2 linked regions of the Lepisosteus oculatus genome follow. Each later gene encodes a partner of the first gene's protein in a complex. Links are inferred from orthologs where the notes say so. Each region holds a gene or a part of one and is shown in the gene's direction. Other genes may lie near its edges.

Evidence for each region. The genes of interacting proteins can lie anywhere in the genome.
Region 2: the proteins of serine/threonine-protein kinase WNK4 (region 1) and klhl3 are in contact, whole or in part, in a crystal structure (PDB 4CH9), measured with the Homo sapiens proteins. The link is inferred for Lepisosteus oculatus from reciprocal best matches to the Homo sapiens genes WNK4 and KLHL3. Residues at the interface, in NP_115763.2 of Homo sapiens: Glu557, Pro558, Glu559, Glu560, Pro561, Glu562, Ala563, Asp564, Gln565; in NP_059111.2 of Homo sapiens: Arg339, Phe355, Gly357, Ser358, Leu359, Arg360, Thr386, Phe402, Gly404, Gly407, Ser432, Tyr449, Gly451, Ser481, His498, Arg528, Tyr577.

Annotation. Positions count from the first base shown.
Region 1 is NC_090723.1:4,339,808-4,347,756, forward strand, and holds the start of serine/threonine-protein kinase WNK4, read left to right. Parts: upstream 1-4,947; 5' UTR 4,948-5,596; coding exon 5,597-6,238; intron 6,239-7,949. UniProt on the Homo sapiens protein: Serine/threonine-protein kinase component of the WNK4-SPAK/OSR1 kinase cascade, which acts as a key regulator of ion transport in the distal nephron and blood pressure.
Region 2 is NC_090706.1:38,768,284-38,775,457, forward strand, and holds the start of klhl3 (kelch-like protein 3), read left to right. Parts: upstream 1-4,173; 5' UTR 4,174-4,294; intron 4,295-5,128; exon of another isoform or gene 5,129-5,192; 5' UTR 5,193-5,345; coding exon 5,346-5,359; intron 5,360-7,174. UniProt on the Homo sapiens protein: Substrate-specific adapter of a BCR (BTB-CUL3-RBX1) E3 ubiquitin ligase complex that acts as a regulator of ion transport in the distal nephron.

The DNA of each region.
Region 1 (7,949 bases):
GAGGCTTTTCCTCTTTAGATTTTGGGGGTGGGGTGGGTGAATCAAAATTGTAAAGCGCTCCTCCTTCAAGCAGGCTCTCCTTGCTCCACTCTTTTCCAGAATATTTTTCCACTGTTTTTTATTTTCTTTTTTTTTTACAGTGATTAACTTCTGTTTAGTGACTGACGAGGATAAATACCCGTCAGGTCCAGTGCAATACTTCTTGCAATAAAGAATTTCTCAGCAAACAACAGACGTCTGGAAAACAGTTTTCCATCCTTGGCTTGTGGAAGATCTTTAGGATTTGGGGTTCCTTACTGGAAAAAGCTGGAGATGGGGAGCATGCAGCTTTATTGTACAAGCATTATAAGCAAGGAGGTAGCCATTGTACATATCGCTGGATCTTCCTGTCAAAATCTTGTAGCCATTTGCTCTGTATTTGACTGCCTTTTATATTGCTGGGTTACTGTAAAATAAACTGAAACGACATCCAACTTGGATTTCTGTGTGGTACCAAGGTACACGGCTTGTTTTTCAATAAAAACACCTGCAAACACAACAATGTCCACCAGGTGGCTGGAGTTCACCATGTTTAGTTGGATTCGGCCGAGCAGTCGCACTATCTTGACGAAGGAGTACATTGAAATCTGGCAAAAGATTCCGGGGGGGGGGGGGGAACTGTTAAAATAAGAAATTGTACCCTCCCAGTCTCGGGACACCTACAGTAACCTGTCCTGTCAGAAGATGCCAGCACTGCTATGACTGAAGATGCGAATATTTGTGTCCGTCTTAATCTCCTTTCTTTAGGTCGGTCATCCGCTAATTAAGGCGGAATGAAGGCGTAATTAGGTTGACTTATTGGCTTAGCCCCGGGCGGCGGGCTGAGGGGACGGCTGTAAAGGCCTGAGCAGTGTGAACCCCCCGCAGGGGGAGCTGCTGCGCGGTCGCAGGTGGGGTGGTGGGACGGGGGGGACAACATCGGGACTCGGGCGCTGGAGGCCGGAGACGGGCAGGCCTGGGCTTGACGGCACCCAAACGTCTGCTAGAAGCAGCATTATGTTGGATGGGAGCGTGCCCAGGAAAGATTAAAAAAAAGCTAAATGTCAAACTGTTTGCAAAACAATAATGATTAAACCTAATAAATTAGTGAATCCTCAAAGAGTTTCAAATACAGGGTGTTTAGGTATACACGTATGTAATAAAGTTATCGGTTATCTACATAATGTCATAGGATCATTTTAGCGTATATATTTTATCAGGTGTTTATATGTTTTGTTTTTTGCCCATTGGAAATCTAAAACAAATACTGTGCATGAACTTATCTCAGATAGTTTACGGAAGAAACGCTGTTTCGTCTTCCTACTTTTCATTGTGAAATTAGCCTGTTTCTTCCTTTGCAGTCGCCGCACACTGACGCAGATCCCAACTCGAATTTGTATAAAATGCGTAGAATAATACTGCCAAAGCATAAAACGGCAAAAAAAAACTTAAATCCGTCTCTTAACACTCGGGAAATAGCTGTGCTGGAAACCACGGCACCTTTGTATTGTAATCTTAAACATCTGAAACTGCAAAAAAGGTGTAATTAAAATATATCACATCACTAGCTTCTATGTAGTTGAGAAAATGACCTGGCCCTAACATAATGTTTCAAATGTTATGTTTATTTTTTCTGTGACAAATTATCTAGATCAAATACGGTCATTGTAAATCAGATTTTGTTAATATCACACTTATATGAAAGGGTCACGGATTAAAATTTTGTTTGCTACCATTTTAACATTGTTTTCATCAAGAATTAAGAAAATCCTTCAAAAAACACTTTTTCTTAGTCTCTGCGCTCACAGAATATACCATAACTTCTGAGAAAAAACATTTTCAACGAGCTCAGTAATGCATTCTGGATGTTTCATGACGTAAGTAGTAACTTGGTGAAACATTAACGCTTAAATAGGATGGATTAGTGTAACACTAAACTCATAAATTAATCCCCCTCTTTCTCCCACAAGAATTCAGGAAGCTGAAGATGTAGAGGTGGTTGTTTTTTTTTTCAGCCAGGCAAACAGCAGTCTGAGCAGAACAGCAGAGAACGACCAGTAAGGGAAGGACAACAACAGTATAAGTGAGCCAAATTGCAGGAAAACACAGATTAAGCAAACTGCAATTGCAAAGAGACAGTATAAGATTGGAGCGCTGATTATTCTGGCCTGCTTTTCGCAGTTGTTTTCTTGTTTTCTGAGGAGGACTCGTTCTCTCTGAACCGAGAGAGAAGTCACGTGCGCTGTTCAGGGCAGGGCCCCAGCCCGGCCTTCCCTGCCCATGTGCTCTCACTGATAACCCGGAGGTCTCCGATGCCACAGGTGGAGCTCAGTGCATTTCCCCGGAGATAACCAAACTTTTCTGCTCTCCCAGCTCCCTGGAACTGAATGTTGCCTCTGCAGTGCTGCATATTTTCACCTTCTTAAGAACACGAGTTCTATCTGACGAGCACAGAACTTAAGTGTTCCACGTGCTTGTAGCACATTTTATGGTTTGTCCTTGATTCTGTAATTACGTAGGATTTACTCTTCTGCTTTTTTTATGATGCCCTCTATCCTGCGTCAGTTTATAATGATCATTTTTCATCACTGTTAATGTCCCGTTCAGTTTGATGGACAATGCTCCTTCCGGTACGCTGGTTATGTGTTGGAGAAATATGAGAGAGTTACCGAGCTGCATGCAGAACAGACAAGGGGGGAGACTGGAAGAGGGATTGTCCCTTTGAAGCTGAGGGTTACTCAGCAAGCCAAGTGCCTGCCCCACAGTCCAGAATCAGGCGCAGCACTCGCACTGCAACCTGCACTGGCTGAGCTCCCAGGTGTAGTGACTTGCACATTGTCACACAGTGCCCGGAGAACAGGAGGCCAGTGTTTTAAAAAGCTGATATTGGACACCCAGCTTGGCAGTGAGCTGGAATGAAGGAGCTGGGGCTGACGTCATTCGGATTGCAGTGGGCCAGTGCACCACGTGGTTATCACTTTAGAGTCCTGCAAGCTTTCTAGGTCTCTTTTAGGTCATCCCTAGCTACTTAGCTGGAAAAGATCATTCTAACTAGGGGACATCATTTATGGGGGGGGTATATGGGATACTTTGTCCCCCTAAGCCCATTGGGGGTGTCAAAATGTCTTACTGTAGCAAAGTGTAAGAGAAGACAAGCCCCAACATTCCAATTTGCTCCATCTTCCAAAAAACACTTTTGGCAATGGAGCACGTGATATTGTAGACGGCACACTCTGCCCCAACACAAGTCGCAATGGGGCAAACCAGGAGGACTTAAATTATTACAAAGGGTACCCCAGTTCCACATCTTGATCTAGAGCAGGAGGCAGCCCTCCCCCCCATCATTTCTTGAAATGAAATCTCTGATTCATATCAAGTAAACAGTTTGATTCAGTTATTCAAGAATCTAGCCGGAAGAAAACAACAGAAGAGACTGATTTATGGGAGTTCTTGTGCCTTACAATGTGCAGTCTGCATGGCACATTTCAGTAATTGCCTTAAACCAATACTTTTATCAGACAGCAATGCCCTCTGTGCCATTTACCGCAACTTCGTCCAGCCAGGCAGATCTGTGCCCTACACTTTGTCTTGCTGTGGTGCGTGGCACACGGCCAGCGAACTTTCATTGTGTCAGGGCAATCGTGACAGGCACTTAAGAACAGCTTAATTACGGCCCTGGTGTCCAGTTTCATTATCTCCACAGCAATTTCCACTGTCTGGGTTATCTGGGGTATTTGTGCTCTGGTTTAAGTATTTCTTTTAAATAAAACACAGAGGTACTATGCTGGCCACAGGCCTTTCATATTCACACAATGCACTTACACTATTAATTACACTGTTACACTGTTAATTACCTCCGCTTCTGTTTCAGTCAGAGGGGATGTGCAATCAAAACAAAAACAGGAAGTACTCCTTTACACAGAGGGTTGTGGGAGTGTGGAACAAGCTCTTCAGCCAAGCTGTTGAAATAGCGTCTTTCACAAAACAGCTGGATGAGATCCTGTGGATCAATAAACTACTTTCAAATGAGTGAAATGGGACAAATGGTCTCCTCTCATCTGTAACCATCTGTTCTTAAGGAAGGAGCACCTGAATAATTTGACTTAAGTCCACTAACACAGAATATGTTTGCATGGTACAAGTTGAATGTTTTGAAAAATGCATAGCTGGAACATAGGACTGGAAACGACCAGATTGAAGAGAATCAGGAATAACATTCACTTGGGAGCCCATTGATAAATATTTGGAAAGCTTGTACTTGAGTGGTCCGAAGAACACCACCTAGTGTAAGTAAGAACACCCTGAACTGCCATGAACGTGAAGAACAGCTGTGATGAGAAAATGCCCATTTGTTTGTAACTTGTTATTGCCACACGCCAGGTTTATATAAAGACCCTGTCCCCACGAGTGCTCTCGCAAGCGCTGACCTGATGTTTTTTCATCGATGTTTATCGGCCCGTTTTGATAGAAGCACACGAAAGAAAAAAAAAACGCGATACGCTCGTCGTGACACCATATATCATGTGTTAGCAGTCGCGCAGAAACGGGATGAAAAACAACGAGATAAACAAGTCGGAAGGTTCTGGTTTTAAGGGCTGCGCTAATGAAAACCAATAGGACTGTGTGTCTGCGCCTTTTAAAAAAAATCGCCCGTGTAGCCCTTTTTCTAAAAAAAAAATAATTGGATGACGCCGGGTAGCCTTCTCCAAAATCCATTCAAAAAGTGAATATGATAATAGTAACTTGAACAGCAATGGCAGAAGAAGATTCGTGTTAGAAAGCAGATACCGATCCCACAAGACGGCGGGCTGCGCACCGGGTCTCCGATTCTAGGCGCTGTAGTTCGCACGTTTTCGCCCAAGCAAGGTGTTTTGGTCTGGCAGCGGAGGAGGAGCCGTGCGGGTGTCCAGCCAGTGCTAGGAGCCGCCTGCTTTCTGTTGATATCGGCAAAGCGTCTGTGCGCTCTTTAAAAGGCTCCTGGCGCCTGCAGACGTGCACAGCGCACCACTTGGCTGGGGACTGCGCGGCTGCAAACGCGTGTTTTCTGAGATGTCGTGACAGAAGCACTTCTGTTTCTTGGATGTTTACAAAGACGCTTTCCACCAGACTTCGGACCAGATCCGTGCGCTGGGTGTATACCGCGAAGGTGTTTTCTACTTTTTTTAAAGTGAAAATTAAAATTGCGGAGTTGCCTTGTTCGTTTTATTTATATTTTTTTTAACAACAACGAAGGAATATATCGGCGGGACCACTTTGTGTGTGTGTTTTTTTTTCTCTCTCCCTCTCTCCTCTGTTTATGTTTGTGACAACCAATCTAAAAATAATTGTTGTTGTTGTTGCGGCCTCGAAAAACACTGAGCGGACGTTTTGCTAGCAAAGACGGGGGTCGAGGCAGCCGAAGCGCTAAGGCTGCATTAAGGCTCACCTTCTGGATACTTAATTCGCTCCAACTTCATCTCCGCCGGCTGCTGCGCCGTTCTGTGCCATGGTCTCGTGTAGAGGTCCCTTCCAGGTATAATTTTGTTTTTCGGCCGGGGCCAGAAAGGTCATAACAGCCATTCAAGAAGAAACTTCAACCATGTCCCAGGCTGAGGTCGACCTGGCTGGCTGCGGTTTCCCAAATCTTACTGCAGTTCTGGACGACGACTCGTGTCTGCCCAGCCGGGTGCCGCCGAGGCGACGGAGGCACTCGGGAAATTCGAGAAGAAACTCGTACCGCTTCAATAAGAAAAACGGCATGGAGCTGGAGCCCCTACTTTTCGACGGCTCACTCTCCAAGCCCCTGTCTTGGTCCTCCGAGAACATCTTATCGGAGAGGACCGTGACGGAAGAAGTAAAAGCGGACTCGCCGCTGCCCGGTCCACCCTCACCTGCCACCGAGTCCAGCGCGGCGCCCGGCGCGGACACCCCGAGCGCGGACGACGCGCCGCCGGCAGGCGGCTGGGCTGTCCCGGCGCCGTCCCGCACTCTGGACGCCAGCTCGGACTCGGAGGACGAGGGCGCCCAAATCAAACAGCAGAAGGCGGCTCTGTCGCGGGCGGCCTCCGAGAGCAGGTGGGAGCAAGAGGAGAAAGAGGAGATCGAGACCAAAGCGGTGGCCACCTCCCCCGACGGCAGGTACCTCAAATTCAACATTGAAATCGGAAGGGGGTCTTTCAAGACGGTGTACAAGGGTCTGGATACCGAGACGACGGTGGAGGTGGCGTGGTGCGAGCTGCAGGTAAGAGGGACGATGAGAGAGGTGTGTTTCACTCCAGAGGTGATACTGCTTTTATTGCGGGTTGAAAAGCCCCGCGCTGTTACCACATCCCGGAGCTTTGTGTTTGTAGAGCACGTATGTGTGTGTAACTTGTGAGAGAACGTGTTTTCCAAAGTTTAGAACTCGTCTGGGTTTCTCAATTGCGCTGCTTTGCGCTCCACTGAAGCACGGAATCGCGGTGCTTTAATTAAGTTCGGCCTCTCTGAATGCGGTCTCATGCAACCACTTTCAAAGAGGTGCCACGCATAGCATTTCTCCAAAACACATGAAAGTGCTGGCGATGAGCTGTCCCTTACTCATACCCCAGATCTAACCCTAACCAATTCTGCAACCTCTGCTGCCACAAATATTTATTATTACAGGTACCTACAGTATGTATCCAATATGCCTTTTGGAACAGCAGCCTTTCATGAGTGGGGATGCTGTTAAAAATGTATAGTTAATAATGTTAATAATGCGTACATGGTCTCTTTGAAGATGTCACACTGGATGCTTAAGACAACATTCAGATAAAACCAGGATTTTAACTTCATATCAATGGCTTCTTTGGCTGCATATGCACAAAAGAAGTTAATTGAGCTTATTATTCTGATGACACTTGTTTGTCTAAGTTAACAGCCTGGGAGCTGTGACAGCTTTCTTCAGCCAGGTTTGATAGAGTTAACCCCGAAAATACACGGCGAACACCCAACTCACAGAAGAAAGCCCCTGCTTGAGTGGAAACTTTATTCCACAGAGACTGAAGGTTTTTTTTTGGTTTGAGTTGCATTCTGTCGTACTTTTGCCACAATCCATCAATGAGAGAAGAGTTTCGAAACCACTACTCCTTTGGAGATTTCGTCAGGAGGGGTCTGCTTGGAATGAAAATGGACTCTGATGGGGCTGATTCACGATGCAGGCTCTGACAAAGTTAACCCGAAAGGGAACATGTTCAGAAACTAACAGGAACCAGGGGGCACACGTGGAATCTGAGGGGAAGTGCATTTACAATCTAAGAATAGGAGTCACCCTTTTAGAAAAAGTGTTGAAGCACAAAATATCCAGCAAAGCTCTAAAAGCTGATCTCCTGAGTTCTTTTTTAAAAAAAACAGCTCGGTTGGCTCTTCAGTTCAATTAGCTACTAGCAACCAAACAAGCTAGATTGATTCATAACCTTCTTATGTGTGTTTTGGTCCAGATGCACAATGAAAATGTAGGACATACGTGGCTTAATGGGCATATATGTGCTGTAATGTTATTTACATTTTTAAAAAGTGAGCAGATGGGTTTGTTGATTCTGAGTAGTGTTGTTCTTTGAGGTAACAAAATCCTAATTCCGGGTCATGTGATTTCATAGAACTGCCTGGTGCGCAGTGTTTGGCATTTGAGTTACATTTGTCCACATGAGTTGATTCAGAATCTTGCAACTGCAATGAAAAAAAGTTGGGTTTAAAGAAAGACACGATTTGGAAAAAACATGGTAAATGGGGGGGAAAACAGTAAAAGACAAGAGATCCCCTAGTTTCTACCGGTACAATGAAGGCAGAGGGTCTGTGTGAGAGGCAGCCAGGAGAACCAGATGTTCAGCTTCACATTTCCACCGACCAGTCCAGAGAAACCAGGTAACTGGCTCTGTGAGGTTGCAGGAAGTGAAAGTCCAGGCAGCAGTGGAATCTTGCCCTCTGCATAAAAA
Region 2 (7,174 bases), on another chromosome or scaffold:
GATCAGATCGCTTTATTGGCCAGATGCAATTTCTTGCATGGGGAATTTGTTTTTTCGCAGACCCCAACCTGCTCTCCATGAGACACGCAGACGGGGAGAGAGAAGCTTGGGGTCAGAGCGCAGGGCCAGCCGTTTATACGGCGCCCTGGAGAAGCTGGGGTGAAGGGCCTTGCTCGGGGGCCCAACGGAGTAGGATTCAAACCGGCAACCTTCCAGCCACAGGCGCAGATCCTTAGCCACAGTGCCACCGCTCCGCCCCATAACCCGTTCCCTTCCCCTCCCCCACGCTCAGACCTGTTTACTCATTGGGGTCGTCGCTCTGAAAACATCCGCTGTGTGGTATTTCAGAACCCAGGCATACTCGTCCAGAGGGACTTGAATTAAGGTACCTGGGATCTCGGAGGACATTTCTGCCAGCGTCCCCTGATGTATGCAGGTGCTAAATTTCCCCCCCTGTATGTGATGGGGGGGGTATGTATGTGTGCTCGCAGAGGAAATGCATACCACTGATGGGTGAAAGATGGCACCGATTACAAAATGGTGCAGATCCCCGAGACAGAGCTCTGAATCTAAGGGGAACTTTTGAGTAGGAACTCGATGCAGGCTAAAGCCTTACCCTCTGAGCTGTGCTAATCCAGACCCTGTGATGTCCTTGACGTTATTTTAATGCACGCAACAGAGCACAAGGTAACCACGGCCTCTGGTATTCCAGCCCTCCATCATCTCATTAGTTGACTGGAATTGGCGTGCACGTATTTCATTCCTGCACAAATCAGCCGGTTCGTCCTGCGCCTATTCTTAGTGCTCCCAGTGGGCTCGTGCTTGGGGGTCTTTTGGGTTGTGCGGGGTGGTGATGAGCTTATTTGAAGGGCTTTATTAGCCACAGCACATAACAGCTGACAGAATTACTCCCGGGGGCCAGACACGTGTGGGACCAGCTGTTGCAACCAACCCTCTGAACACACCAGGCGGCCAAATCCCGGTTTGTGCTGGTTGAACAGAAAGAGGGTGATGTGTTAAAACAGACGAGCCTGCATTTAGAGGAGTCCACAGACGTTTTTTGGAAGTTTCCTTTCCTTAAAACAAAAGCTGCGAGTAGTTCCTGTGGGTAGGAGAACACTCCTAAGTGAGCAGTTTCATTTTTAACGCTGTTGGATTGCGCACAAAGCTGAAAGAGATGTCTGTGCACGTTTGTGTGAAGCAGCTGCTGAGCATCCATTCCAGTCCGCTAAAGCATTGGCGAATTAGCGACGTGCTCGCATTCCTCGAGTTGCTATTAAAAGAGGCAACAAGAACCGCACGTTTACTGTCAGGGCCTGCGAGAGACTGCGAACAGGCAGGGCAGCAGAAGGCGCGTTTCGGCGCCGACGGGGTGCCGGGAGAGCTGGAAATGGCGGAGGGGAAGTGGGCGTGACGTCACGGGCGAGAGGACCCGGATATTTTCCTGCGCGCGGCTCGTGTGGCACGGGACTGCCGGAAGTGGGGGGTGTCGGGCTTGGCAGGAAGTCGAGATCGGGGGGGAAGCGAGGAGGCACTCGGGCTTACTGGCCCACTACCTACCCTGATGCGGTGAAGTCTTTTATTTAAACACCAGATGGCGGTGACTCTTGCGCGCTTTGTCAGGCCGAGGCGGACGAAGTCGGGCAGCGATGGTCACGTGTCTTTCCGCAATCGCCGCGCTGCGTAGCGGGAGAGCCGTGCGTGGAGACCGTGGTTCCTATGGCAACGCCGCTATGGCGGACACGGCGGCCTGTTCTGCAGCTCTGGCGACGCGCCCTTGTGTCTGGCCGTGGGCTCATGAACAGCCATTCATCGGCCGCGGGTTAGCCTCAGGGTTATGGCTCCGTATTTTTGGGAGAAATGTTTTTTTTTTTTTGAGAGCGTGTTGCATAGTAGTCCCGAAGCGCTTATCGCGTTGAACATGGACACCGACTGAATGGTGTCTTTCCGGTAGAGAGAGATTTGGTCACATCACTTTTTATTGGGATAGAAGAGTGCTTTTCGGCACTTATAAACGGCTTTTAAAAACATTGCGCGTCGGCAGATATTCGCTTTTTGATTTTGTTCCATCCCTCAGGAAGGTTTTATGTTCCTTTGCTACTTTAAACGTTAAGCCTTTTTATTAAGGTTAATAAATCGGAACAGCATGACCACCTCTTAAAACGCGTTTTTGATAAACGTGGAGGGAACATTTAAAACCAAAAACGTGCGAGATTTAAAAAAAAAATCAATGCACACACGAGTTTTGTCACCTTCACCCATCATTTGAAGTTACAGCACCATTCAGCGGAAATGTGCAATAATTCATTTTCCAATTTCATAAGATGACACCTTACGTATTCACTTTTGGAACACACGGGGGCAGCAGTTACTTTAAAGTGGGTTTGAAACGAGTCGTGTCAGCTTGAGCAATTACTGCATTCAATAAAAGCAATCAGCTTAATCTCCTTCTTACATTCGAGAAGCTGTTTCTTCAGTTAATACGTACTGGGGGGAAGCCTCTTATCATTGTTGGGTTTAAGGTGTGATACTCTTTCTAACACTGTTTTCTCTTTACACTCAGAGGCTATCCTGGAGCTCAGCTGGCTGGCGTGAAGTTGGCGTGTGCTCTCCGTGTGCTGCCCGGAGCTGCCCCGCGTGCCCCGCCAGCTGCCCAGAGCAGCTCTCATGCGATGACTGTTTTACAGGTCACGCAGACTTGGCTACGAATCCACGGACTGGAATATCACTGATGGGCGCTCTTTTTAAAAAAAAAACGAAAAGCGGTGGAAAAAAATATTGTGATTTAAAAAAATATATATTTAATAAAAGTATTTGAGTATCGGTGCCGTCCTCTTTCTCTTACCAAGGTTCGGAGTTGTGTGTTCCGAGCTGCTGTTGTATGTTTTTCTTCCAGGTACAGTTACCGTCTACAGAGCAGTACTCGGGTGTAGCTTAAGGGTGGTTGTACTGTGCAGGGGAGAAGTGAATACTTGGAACTATGCACTTAGATTTGAATGTACTTTTCGTGACTGCTCCTGTTCAGACCTTTCAGATTGGGTGCTCATTCACGAAGGCTCCAGCACTACGAGTACCTGCCTTCCTGCCTTCAATAAATGCATGTCTAGTTTCTGGAATTGATGGAGTTTGCATCCCCGTTGCTTCCAGATTCTTTTTAATCCTTTGGGAATAGTGTCTATAAACACTACTGTCGGCTGTGTATTCCGGACACTCTAGTTGCTATGAAACGAGCTCTGTGCGATTGTGATGTTGTGATTGTTTCCCCACTGTGGCCGAAAAAGAGTGGTGAATGTGGCTCCGTACTTGAAACCAGAAGACCGGGTTCGTATTGCAGGTGGGACACGGGTGTCATACCCCTGAGCAAGAGGGTTTGTTCAGATTGCCCCGGTTACGTGCCCAGTTGTTTAAACTGGTGCCAATGCATGTTACCTCAGATAAATTGTGCCGTAATTGATCAATCTTAAGAGCAGTATAGCCCAGCTTCCTCCCGTGTTAAGTGGGAGCACCTGCACATATTAGGCAAGCTCCAAAGCTCCTCTATTTGGTTGTCAGCAGTCGTTTTTACTATACTGATATTGATTCCAAATCAGCTGGGTCTGTTGGAGCGGTGTGGCGTAAGGCACCTTATTTAACAGTAGCAGCAGTGTCCCAACCTGGGTCTTGAGTCCCTTCCACTCTGGGGCTGAGGGCCTTTAGGTGCCCCGTTTTATCCTTCTGGAAAAGCACTAATGCTCGAGAGTCCGGTACATTGATAGTCCGACCAAAATAAGGAGGGGGGTGGGGGATTTCGGTGTTTCTGTTGGCCTTTCTCATTGGACACTCAGTAGCAGGTCTAGATGCGGGGGGGCCTAGAAACTTTGTGGGTCCTAATGCCCCAGGGTAGTGAAGGGGATGCTACAGTGTAAAAAAAACATAAAACCAAGGTCCTGACTGGTTATTAGGGATCCCAGGACATTTATCAGAAAGAGTAGGGCTGTTGACCCCAGTGTCCTGGCCAAATTCCCCCCTGGTCTTTACAAATCATAGCCACCTAATAATCCCCAATTATGACCTGGCTTCATCACACTCCCACCTGATTGCTGATCCTGCTGGTGCACTCTGTCTGCCGTTGCATCCATAAAAGTGCTATATAAATGTGTAAGAAATCATCATACCAAGGCCTTATGCGACAACCCAGGATCAGCACTCCCCAGACATTGGAAGTGAGGACGAAGACCAACAGTGAAGAAGGTTCTCGCTCCTGTCGAGGCCTGCCCGGCTATCGTCATCACAATGTCTAGTTCCAGAATTGCGGGTAACCAAATTGCAGAGCTAAAAATAGCTTATTTTTCAGACTGCATACTGTATTGCAGAAGAAACTAGAAGCTCGACTGGAAAAAATGAAAGCTTATGTGCTTGCCTGTTAAGACAATTTGTATTTTATAACTTAGCACATGATCAGCAGAAACAAATTACTGCGCTCGTGTTTTAGGAGACATACTCTCGTGTTACATTGTCCATTGACACGGGTTTCCTACAGCTGTTGGCTTTGCATAAGAGAGACAGTGAAAGTAAGATGCGTTAAAACAGCCTATTCCACGTTACCAATCAACAATGGTGATAACGTAGTCGCACAATCAATAAAACAAAATTACGAGCGTGTTCATTTCTCAATAGCAGATCATTCGTGATATACTGCAGTAGGCTGCTCATGTCCTATGAAGACTGTTCACAGCCAGCTGTAGAAAGATACACAGAAAGGCGATTGCATGTTTTCTCACATACCATGTCTCTATATTAAAATACATGACAGTTTTGTTTGACCTCTTCTGTGTTACGCTCAGTTATAACCCCCCCACATGTTGCTCGGCTGCTCAGACTGCACAGTGTTAAGTGTCGGCTCGCACTGGAAGGGGCGGCGCTCTTCAGCGCTTCGACAGCAGCCTCAGTCTTCACCGTGTCACGTTTTTTGTCGAACGATACAGGTTTTGGGGGTGACCGTTTCATGACAGCGTGTTATGGATCACGGGGGGTCTTTCGGGGGGAGGAGGGGGGCTGCGACGCTCTCGCGCACTCGGGGGGTCCGCACGCGCACAGAGAGTGGAAGAGGGAAAGAAAGGGGGGGTTGGAGCAAGGAGACCTGGGAAAAAAATAGCAAGGAGAGGGAGGGGGGAGGTGTGTCCTTCCCTCTCATTCACCGGTCTGCTGTGCAGCGGAGGAAGAGGGCTGGCGAACTCGGGAGCTGGTCCGTCCTGTACCCCTGAGCGGCGCTGCGCCAGACCCCCGCCCGGCTCTCGCCGTGAGCAGCAGCAGCAGCAGGGTGTGAGCGGACAGCCGGACAGCACCCATGCGCTAGGACCGGAACCATGGAAGATGCAGGGTGAGTTTTGCCTCGCCGCTGTGCCCCTGCGTGCGCCGGGACTGAGACCCCTCTGCCCCTGCCTTCAGCCCCCTCGAATCTGTGCGCTGCCATCGCGTTTGTTTGTTTGTTTTTTTTTTGGGGGGGGCAGCATTTCTGCCGTCTTCCGCTCCTCGGCGAGGCGGTGCTGTACAGGCATGCAGCAGCAGCAGCAGGTGGGGGTGTACCGGTACCTCCCAACGTTTCGCTCGGACACGTGATGAGGTGTTACCGTGTAGCCGAGCCCAGTGATAACTGTCCCAGGACCACGCACAGCCCCGGTCGGAAACGTACGGCTGGCCACCGCAACTGCTTGCAGTCGACACCTCCTGCCTGAGCGGGAGGTGTTGATCTTTTTTTTCGACCCTGTGCAAATCCGAAAGAAAGATTTGGATTGTTTACAGGCGGCACGGCAGGATGTCGTGCTCAAGTTTAGTGGCGAGCCCGACCAAACTAGAACGGGTGATTTTTCTTTTTCGCCAGGTGTGCCTGTACATTACCTGTGTTTTGACGCGCAGAATTATTGGTTAGGAAACGTTAAAAAGGAGTAGATAAGGCACGGTTATTAAAAACGTCAAATTGACTATTTTTATCACGAGTTACATCGCTTATACATTTTCAATATGGAGATCACGTGAAAAACACGAGCTTCGCTTTTGCCGTTTTAAGAAGGATGAATATTCACGGTATGAGCGCTTGTAACGCCGGTGTTCCTGATGCTTCTCCAGTGTGACATTTCGACAAGGGCTCATGCCAGACCTGAGATCTGTGACCTTTCCGTCTGCAGTACTGGATGAAATTATACAAGGTTTACATTTTTAAAGTTTACTGGGAAACCCTTGCAATTCAGACTTTATTTCTCTTTAAAGCTGGCTGAAAAAACCTATATCCATTATTCCCACATCGCAGAAATGATTGTATACTTTTCCATTGAGAAGAAAATCTTGCCTGTTGTAGTCAAGTGTTCTCTTTCCCCTCTTCATGACGCAAAGGACTCTGGTAGTAGTTCTTCATTTGAAAGCATTTCGGGTATCACATTTGCCCTCTTGCAACAGTACCCATTAAAGCGAATTCACTGGTACCTTTAATTGTGTATGGGACATAAGGAGTCTTGTGATGGACTGGCCTCTGTCCTGCCTTGGACCCGTTGCATGCTGGGATAGGTTCCAGCTTCCCTGCGATCCTGGATTGAATGAGTCTGTTAGAACATGGATGGACGGACATAGGGAGTTTTGTTCTTAACTGAGTAGTTTTTGAGAAAGCTTTGAAACTGAGGTTTTTTTCCCTTCCTCTTCAGTTGCAGCTGTCTTTGCAAAGATACTCCAACTAAGGCAGTAAACATAGGATCAGCCTTTTGTTATTTCATGTACAAATTCCTAAAACCTTAAAGTGGCTTAATTTCCCTTGCATTGAAGTTTGTTAGGCCCTGCTGTGGTCAGTTTGTGAACTCCTGCTGTCTTTGACAATCAGCACTCATTTCAGTCTTGAAAGTTACAATTGAAAGTAGATGAGATACTTTTGTAATAGCTGTGTTGGTGTTTGTTAGCCATTGAGAAGCTTTTTAGAATTTCTGAAGGGGGTACTTAAACCTGGTGTTTTACAGGTGGCAGAGTAGATTGAGTAAGTAAGCTATTGACCTGAATTTACTGTTCATGTCAGGGCCAGGCTGGGTCAAAAGTGAATTCTGCAGTCCACTGTGGGAGTCTTGTATGAGACCATATGACACCATTACTGTCATATGCTTTGGGGTCAGGGTTTGGAACGTAATAAGTACAGTATTGAGTGCGTAGTGGCTCT